Linked DNA regions of Xenopus tropicalis. The protein of the gene in region 2 interacts with the protein of the main gene of each other region in a pairwise test. Links are inferred from orthologs where the notes say so. Each region holds a gene or a part of one and is shown on either strand. Other genes may lie near its edges.

What was found. The genes of interacting proteins can lie anywhere in the genome.
Region 1: the proteins of itsn2 (region 2) and sos1 interact in a two-hybrid assay, tested with the Homo sapiens proteins (2 studies listed by BioGRID and IntAct). The link is inferred for Xenopus tropicalis from reciprocal best matches to the Homo sapiens genes ITSN2 and SOS1.

What each region holds. Positions count from the first base shown.
Region 1 is NC_030681.2:42,909,061-42,913,289, reverse strand, and holds the start of sos1 (son of sevenless homolog 1), read right to left. Parts: upstream 2,801-4,229; 5' UTR 1,937-2,800; coding exon 1,832-1,936; intron 1-1,831.
Region 2 is NC_030681.2:145,826,535-145,830,629, reverse strand, and holds the start of itsn2 (intersectin-2), read left to right. Parts: upstream 1-1,295; 5' UTR 1,296-1,478; intron 1,479-4,095.

The DNA of each region.
Region 1 (4,229 bases), about 100 Mb from region 2:
AATATCTGAATTTTTTTTCTTTACTATTTCACATTTTTTGTTCAGGAGCTCTCTAGTCTGTCATTTCAACTGCTAAAACTAGTCTGTCACCAGATTGCTAGAATCATTGATCCAAATCCATAAAAGTCAAGAATTGGCCTAAATGACAGAATAGAAGACAAACAGAAGAATGGCTGAACAGAAATAAAAGACTGATTAAATATGACAATAAGAACCTAGCAAATACATGTATATACATTTGGTTGTTGGGCTTGGACCTGTGATTTTAGAAAATAGACATATGTTTACATTGCAGAGAAAAAAAAAATATAAATTCATAAAAAAATAATAATTTACTAAGTTTCCCTTTACTAAACCTGTCTGACATGACTCACTCAATTTTTCATTTTCAAAACACTTAGAGGAGGTCTAAAATTTAAACATTGAGGGGTACACTCCCCAGTGATTCTAACTGATATCCTCAGACCCTGAGCCAGAACTCTTCTTGGCTGAAAAACGTGGCAGCCCAGGTACTATTCCAGTGAGCATTGCAATGCCATTTTGCCAAACTTTCCCAAGGATCACTTTCTGTTGGTCTGGGTTGCATGCATGTGCAGACCTTTTATTGTAATGAGTATTACACTAGCAACATAAAAATTAGGTGTATATTTTTTTTTATACAAGTTTTTCATAAGATGTACAGTAATGTGACCGTTATGGCATTGTTCACCTTCCAGACACCAGCAATAATTTTATTCAATTGCTTTTTAATTTGTATTTGTGATTGGTATTCTAATATTGCTTTAAAACAGCTCTGGGAGAGGGTGGAGTCACAGACACTGTAACCTGTTCTAATTTGATATGTCAGTTACTACATTTCTTATCTTGGACTCTGCTGAGTATAATGCTGGAGTTTTATTAAAAGCAGCTAACATTCCACAGCTGCTGCTGATAAATGTATCAACTAATGTAGCAAAATGTAACAGTTCAGGGTCTGCACCTGGATTGCTGAGCTGCCAAACACAAGAGACAGTACCATTAAAGTTTAAACTTCAATTTTAGAAAAATATACATTAGAAATAATAAATAGAAGGCAATTGAAAAAAAAAAAAAAGCCTTGTTGCATCTGAAAATGTCTGTGCTGAAAAAAAAGTGAACAAACCCTTGAACCTGTGGGAAAGGATCATAGTTGACACCTACTTTTGCCCCTTGCAGTACTTAAAATCAGATCTGGCCTTGGTTTTAACAGACATCTAAATATCACAGCCATAAAGAGGACCGAGATTTCATTTCTGACTAGTTGGACCAGCTAAGTTCCATTATACATATCCATTTAATTAGTGTGGAGTGTGAATAAGGCCAGTGACAGGGGACAGCTGTAGTCATTTGACTTTTATGTAAAAGGGGACTTAAAACCCACAAATACAATGCTATCTAATGAATGAAAATTTTAAGAAACTTACCAACATGCAATTCATTAAAATGAAATGATTGGTTTTAAATGTATTTGTGCATGCAATTGCAACTGAAAACTGTATTTTTGTACCATCTCTTGATACTATGTAGCAGAAGCATGATTATTTGGAGGTCTGTTAATTAGCTGCCTTCTGCTACATTGTTTAAAAAGACAGGCCTTGGTATACAAAAGGTCAAGCAGAGTTTTACTTTTCAATAGCAATTACATTTACAAATAACATTAAAACCATTGAAAATGTGTAGCTGAATTATATTGGAAAGTTTATAGGCAGAGTTTTTTAAGGTTCCATGTAACAAAACAGCCTGTGGCCTCTGGGTGTTGCAGAAATAGACTGGTTTGTCACAGGTTGAACATCCATGTTGTAACCCCTCTTACCTTTTTCAGGGCACCAACCAGCAGACCCTTCCATTTGGGGGAGTTCTCCTCACTGAAGAAGTCGTACTGAAACTGTGGGGCCTGCATGACGGCTTCCCTCGGCATTTGTAGAGCTGGGGGCGGATTATCCTAATCCTCACAATGCCAGGTGGGGGAGAAAGGCGCCTGCCAGGTAAGGAGACTGGGTCCTTCAAGTGGGGGTGCCACTTATGCTCCCCCGCCCCGCCAGATAAACTCCACCGCCTTCCAAATGAGCAGATGCCGGCTTTAAGGCAACAAATGATCCATAAGGGTGGGGAAGTTGAAGAAGTTGCCCCTTAAACGGGGCAGCATAGGGCGCACATTTCCCCTTTGGGAGAAAGAGAAGGAGGGGGGCGGCTCATGGACACCGCTTGCACTTGACAGCTGCCTGTACATATATGACAGCTGTGTGTATACATAGGAGATGGGTGGGACTAGGCCGGAGGCACGCACTTGCTTACTCCTAGTCCCGACCTCTCTTAATTCCGGGGTGAGCTAGGAGGCCGCGGATGGAGGTGCGATTCAGGGGCTGCTCTGCCCTCCCGGGCCCACACAGGAGCTGCCAGCGCGCCGCCCCGTCTCTCTGCTAATAACAAAGGCAGACTGGGAAGCTCCAGTGGCGCAGCGTTCTCCTTGAGCATCCAGAAAACGGGGGTCTGGACGGGCGTCACTGGATAAAAAAAGACACCCCGGTTCCCCTCCCTGTTGTCTGCTCCTTCGCCGCCCCTCCTTGTTTACGGCCGACTTCTCTTTCCCTTAGCAGCTCGACCCAGCCTGTGGTAATGATGGCGCAAGAGGACTCTTGATGCGTCACTTTGTTATTATTTTTGTTGTTAGTTTATTCCCCCCACACTCTCGCCAGACAGCAGCGCTCAGCGGCCGTTGGAACAGACTTGTATTGCGACTGCGCGCAATCTAGGGGGCGACAGAAGGGCTGCCTGCCGCCGTCATGTGACCACCGACCTTAACTCCGCCTACGCCTGATTTAGCCACAAGCGCACCACTTTTTTTTTTTTCAAATAGCTTTATTATTATGGTACTATACCTTTGATCAGCGTACTGCATACAAATATGCTGCTCAATACATTCAATGTATTTTCATATAAACCTGCAGTATTGGGGAAACCTTATACATTTTTTGCTTCATTCTCTTGATTTTTCAATTTATGTCAAGTTTACTTACCACAAACCCCTAATTTGCAGGGATAGTTCTGATATTTGTTCCTTGTAAAGCATCTTGTTAGTTTTTAAAACTGTGTACAGTGTCAGACTGATGTGTCTGGGGCTCACTGGGGCTGCCACCTCAGGGGGCCACCCAACCCCAGTCTGAGCTCCTCCACTGCCCCATCCTCCACCCACATGCAGCTTGCGCGTGATATCAGTTCCGCAGTGTCCTGACCCTGTACCTCTAAACCTGCCCCCAGCTCTATCACCAGATTTCCTAAGGAAATCTGCGGGCAGAGACTGGGTGCATTTTTTTTTAAATTATAAATCTAATATATAGGCACTATGTAGCTCTCGTTTTTTGCTATGCTTTAAGGATGGCTCTAAGTGTATAGCCCCATGAGAGGAGACACCAACCCAGTAGTGTAACTACATGTTACTGGGCCCCACAGTAAATTAAATTTAGGACCCCAAAACATTAGTAAATAAATGTATTTATTTGTTAGGGGCCTAAGAAGACTGCTTTAGTAATCTTTCTTTTAAACCTACCTTGATACACACATCAATTTCTTTTTACTTTTTTTTGTTTTTTTGCCCTAAAAGTCCTTTTTGACCAGTAAACAGTGTATCTACTTTTTTCAGTTTATTTGTTTTCAGATAGTACACCAGATATAAAAACTTTTCAGTTGCCATTTTTTTTTATTTTTGACCGGTTTTCTAATATTGAAGTTCAAAGTGTAATTTTTCATCTTCTCATCTCTCTAAAAATCCTCTGGGAAGAGGTCACTATACACTACTCTAATTTCATACATTAGTTATTACATTTCTTACATTTGGCCCTGCGGAGCATAATTTCTGAGTTAAGAGTTGCTAACATTGCACAGATACTGCTGAGAAATGTATCAACTAATGCAGTGCTGTCCAACTTCTGTGGTACCAAGGGCTGGAATTTTTCCGTCATATATGGTGGAGGGCCGATAATGGAAGCTCCCCTTTTTTAAATCACACCCACTTGCTGCCTGTGTGTGCCATACTCTGCCTGCCCTACGCTGCCTGTGTGTGTCATACTCTGCCTGCCCTACCCTTCCTGTGTATGCCATACTCTGCCTGCCCTACCCTGCCTGTGTGTGCCATACTCTGCCTGCCCTATACTGCCTGTGTGTGCCATACACACAGGCAGGATAGGGCAGGCAGAGTATGGCACACACACAGG
Region 2 (4,095 bases):
CCATGCACCTGATTATGCTCAGGGTCGGACTGGGCCACGGGGCATCTGGGAAAAAAAAAGGTGGACCCCCCAGCGGCCCAGACCAGATCCCTGTCGCCAATCCCCCAGCCGCCAGTGTCCCTCCCCTGACACGTTGAAAGTAAGTTTTGCACTCAGGGGAGGACATGGGGTGGGGGGTTAGGTGGGCACAGTGCAGGGTGTGTGGGACATGGCAAGGGCACCTTCAGGGGTGCAGGGCCCACTGGGGCTACTGCCTCAGTCTGACCCTGATTACGCACAGCGATGTGTAACTGATGTAATTATGGGTGGGTTTTAGGTCTTTTTTAACAGCGAAGGCAGGGGCGGGCCAAGCCGACCGGGCGCCCTAGGCAACCCGGTCGGCCAACTCCGCCCCCCCAACGACGCATGCGCGCCAAAGCACAGGAGGAGGTGCAGGGGGGGGCGGTGAGATTAGATCGGTCATTGCCTCCGCCGCTAATGACAAGCAGCGGAGGCAATGACAAAGTAGCACTAGGGGTAGGCAGAAGAGATGCCTGCCTGGCGCCCCCCAATCGTTGCGCCCTAGGCAGCTGCCTCTTCTGCCTACCCCTAGTTCCGGCCCTGAGCGAAGGTTAATATTAATTAAGTTGTGTATTATGGGAAGCATGGGGGGGGTGGATTCAAACAAAATAGGCAGAGTCCGAAAAAATGTGTGTTTGTGTACGTCTTTTTTCTACCTAACTTACTATGTAATAACAGTGGTCACCACAGTAACAGCCCAGTCTCACTCTAACCATAATTTGCACTGAAATTAGTGTTAACTCCAACTGAAAAAGGCCAAAAACCCATCCAAAATTACCTCAGATAAAGGCAGTTTTGGCCCAAACTGTGCGTGTAGTCAGGGCATATTGGAAGGTTAATTTTTATGAATTACAGGTGCAAACATTGCCTCAGGAGTAACTTCAGCAACATTTGCGTTCCTTAGACTAGTGAATGCCGCTTACTGATTGGTTGCTATGCGTTACTGCGAACGGAGCAAACTTGCAACCTGCTACTGCATTGCCCCTTGTTAGCTAATGAAACTCCACACCCCTGGCATACAAATTCTATTTATTTAGTGCACACTATGCCAATTTGCCCCGGGCTGCACATAAATACCCGAATAAGTAAAACCCACACTGTTCCAATGTTATGACTCCCTGTAAAAGCTAATCACGTCCACTGCTTTTTTTCGTTTTACACCGACCGAATGACTCCGCCACGGCGAGCTGCCAAGCACCAGCAAATCAACAGCAGCAATACACCTGCTGGCGCCCTCCCGCTCTCTCTGCCCAGCGGCGCACCTTGTCATTGGGCAACTCGGCCTGACGCAGGGCGTGTGACGGCTGCGCTTTCGGAACTGGTTTGTCCTGTGGGGCTTGCTGTAGGGAAATGGTGCTCAAGGCATAGAGAGGCTGGCAGCGCTTGGTCTCAGCAGGAAGAGACGCGCAGCACTGGAGGTCAGTACCCGGGGTGCTTCTGGCAGGTGTGTGGGGGAAGTGGGGTGCAGTGTGCGCAATGGGGGACCTGTCACAGCTGCGTTCGTCCATGTGCATGGCAGCGTTTGACAGCCCTCGGCGCCACAGCTGTTACATAAACTTCAACATCTACACATAGCAGCGCCGTGCAGGGCATACTGGGAGTTGTAGTTTAGAAACACGCAGAAGAAGGCTGCATATCCCTGGAGATAGCTGTGTGATTATAGGGTATCTGTGGCCGTGTGTCCGGCTGTCAGGCTTGTGTATGGCTGGCTAATGCCATAGTGAGTGTGACTGATGCGGGGGGGTGCCTGGGAGCTTCTGCAAGTGTAACATATCCATTTCTCTTCTCAAAGCAACAGGCCCAACACTATACTAACACCATTACTGTCTGCTATAGGGCTGGGCTGAAATGTGTTTGCCTTGGGCCCTCTGGTTCATAGGGGGCCCCTTAGGGGAAGACTGGAAATAGATGCAGTGTGTGGGTTGCTTTGGACACATGGCTGGATTTACTGCATTTGTTTGTATCCACATGTAAGTCCTTATTAAGGCCAAGTGGATTAAAGGAGAACTTAAGGCCAAGAAAAGATTTTAGCTGGAAATGCTCTGTTGAATATACTGAACTCACTGTACCTAGAGGTTTAACAATCCTATAATTGTAATGATCTAGGCCTTCAACGTTTTCTCCATCTTGGATTTTGTTAGGCCAGCTTTAAGTGTCAGTGGCATTGCACATGCTCAGTGTGCTCTGGGCTGCTGTTGAGAAGCTAAGCTTAGGGGTGAAACAGAAAATGAGGTTCCTCTGTCATAGAAGCTGATTCTTAAATTGAGGCAGAATGCATTGGTTTCTGATCTGCCGTGTAATTGGAGTCTGAATTAGCCTTGTATTGTGAAATTAATGTTTTATATATAGTATATTGTGAGTGGGTCCCTAAGCTCAGGTTATAGTGTGTCATTTATATTCTATATATACAGGATAGTGTGACATTTATAATCAATATATACAGGATAGTGTGACATTTATATTCTATATATACAGGATAGTGAGACATTTATATTCTATATATACAGGATAGTGGGACATTTATATTCTATATATACAGGATAGTGGGACATTTATATTCTATATATACAGGATAGTGGGACATTTATATTCTATATATACAGGATAGTGGGACATTTATATTCTATATATACAGGATAGTGTGACATTTATATTCTATATATACAGGATAGTGTGACATTTATATTCTATATATACAGGATAGTGTGCCATTTATATTCTATATATACAGGATAGTGGGACATTTATATTCTATATATACAGGATAGTGTGAGTGGGTCCCTAATCTCAGGCGATATTGTGGCATTTATATGCTATATACAGGATAGTGTGACATGTAAATGCTATATACAGTATAGTGACATGTATATTCTATATATACAGGATAGTGAGACATTTATATTCTATATATACAGTATATAGTGAGTGGGCCCCTAAGCTCAGGTAAGTGACAGCAGCACAGAGTATGGGCAGGGAATCAGCAGAAAAGAAGATTGGGGGCTATTATAGGTCAGGTGGATCTTGATTACACTGCCAGGGTCCTGGAACTGAATAAGATTAAGCTCCTCCCCCAATAAAAAAAAAAAGAATTGTCAGACCATATAGCCGGGCGCTTGGCTGGCCTTGAGGGCCAGATGAAAGAGCTTTCCAAACAATAATGTAACCTGCTGCTGTTGGAGAACACATTCCCCTGTGATTGCTCTGTAATGTTTTCCTTTTGCATAGTCACAGGGGAATTAGCTAGCGGGATCAGCTGGGGACTGGGCCATTATTCAATTACTGAGAATTTATGCTAAATCCTCGATGTCATGGCCTGTTATCATAGGTGGCTCCCAGGTTAGCACTGTCTGTAGAACTGGGGGTCCTGGGTTCACACTTTAAAAAGGGCCTGAAACGTGTTGTTACTATATAATAAAATGTGTTGTTTATCTTTTGAATTAGCTTTTAGTATGATATAGAGCGTGCTATTCTGAGACCATTTTCCATTGCTCTTCATTTTTTATTATTTGTGGGTTTGGAATTATTTAGCTTTTTGTTTAGAAACTCTCCAGTTTGGAATTTCAGCAGCTATCTGGTTGCTATACCAGATTATTATTACCCTAGCAACCAGGCAGTGGTTTCAATGAGAGACTAGAATATGAATAGAAGAGGGTTTAAATAGAAACATAAGTAATAAAAAATTACCGTAACAATAAAATTGTAGCCTCATATAGTAGTTTATGGGCTGCTAGGGACCCTATTTTAGGGTGAGGACACACGGAGCTACTAGTAGCAGCTACTTGTTGTGGCTACAGAAGCAGACAATTCTGATCATTTACAGATAACTGTCTGTGTGTTTTAGCAGAGGCAATTCTAAGTATTGTCTATGGCAGGGGATTTTCTGGCGTCAAGTAGTTGCTTCTAATAGAAGAAGATGGTCCAAATAATTCAAAACCTATAAAAATGAAAAGTTGCTAAGGATTGTCCATTCTATAACGTAATAAAAGTTAAACTTAAAGGTGAACCGCCCCTTTAATACTGGTCTATGATATATAT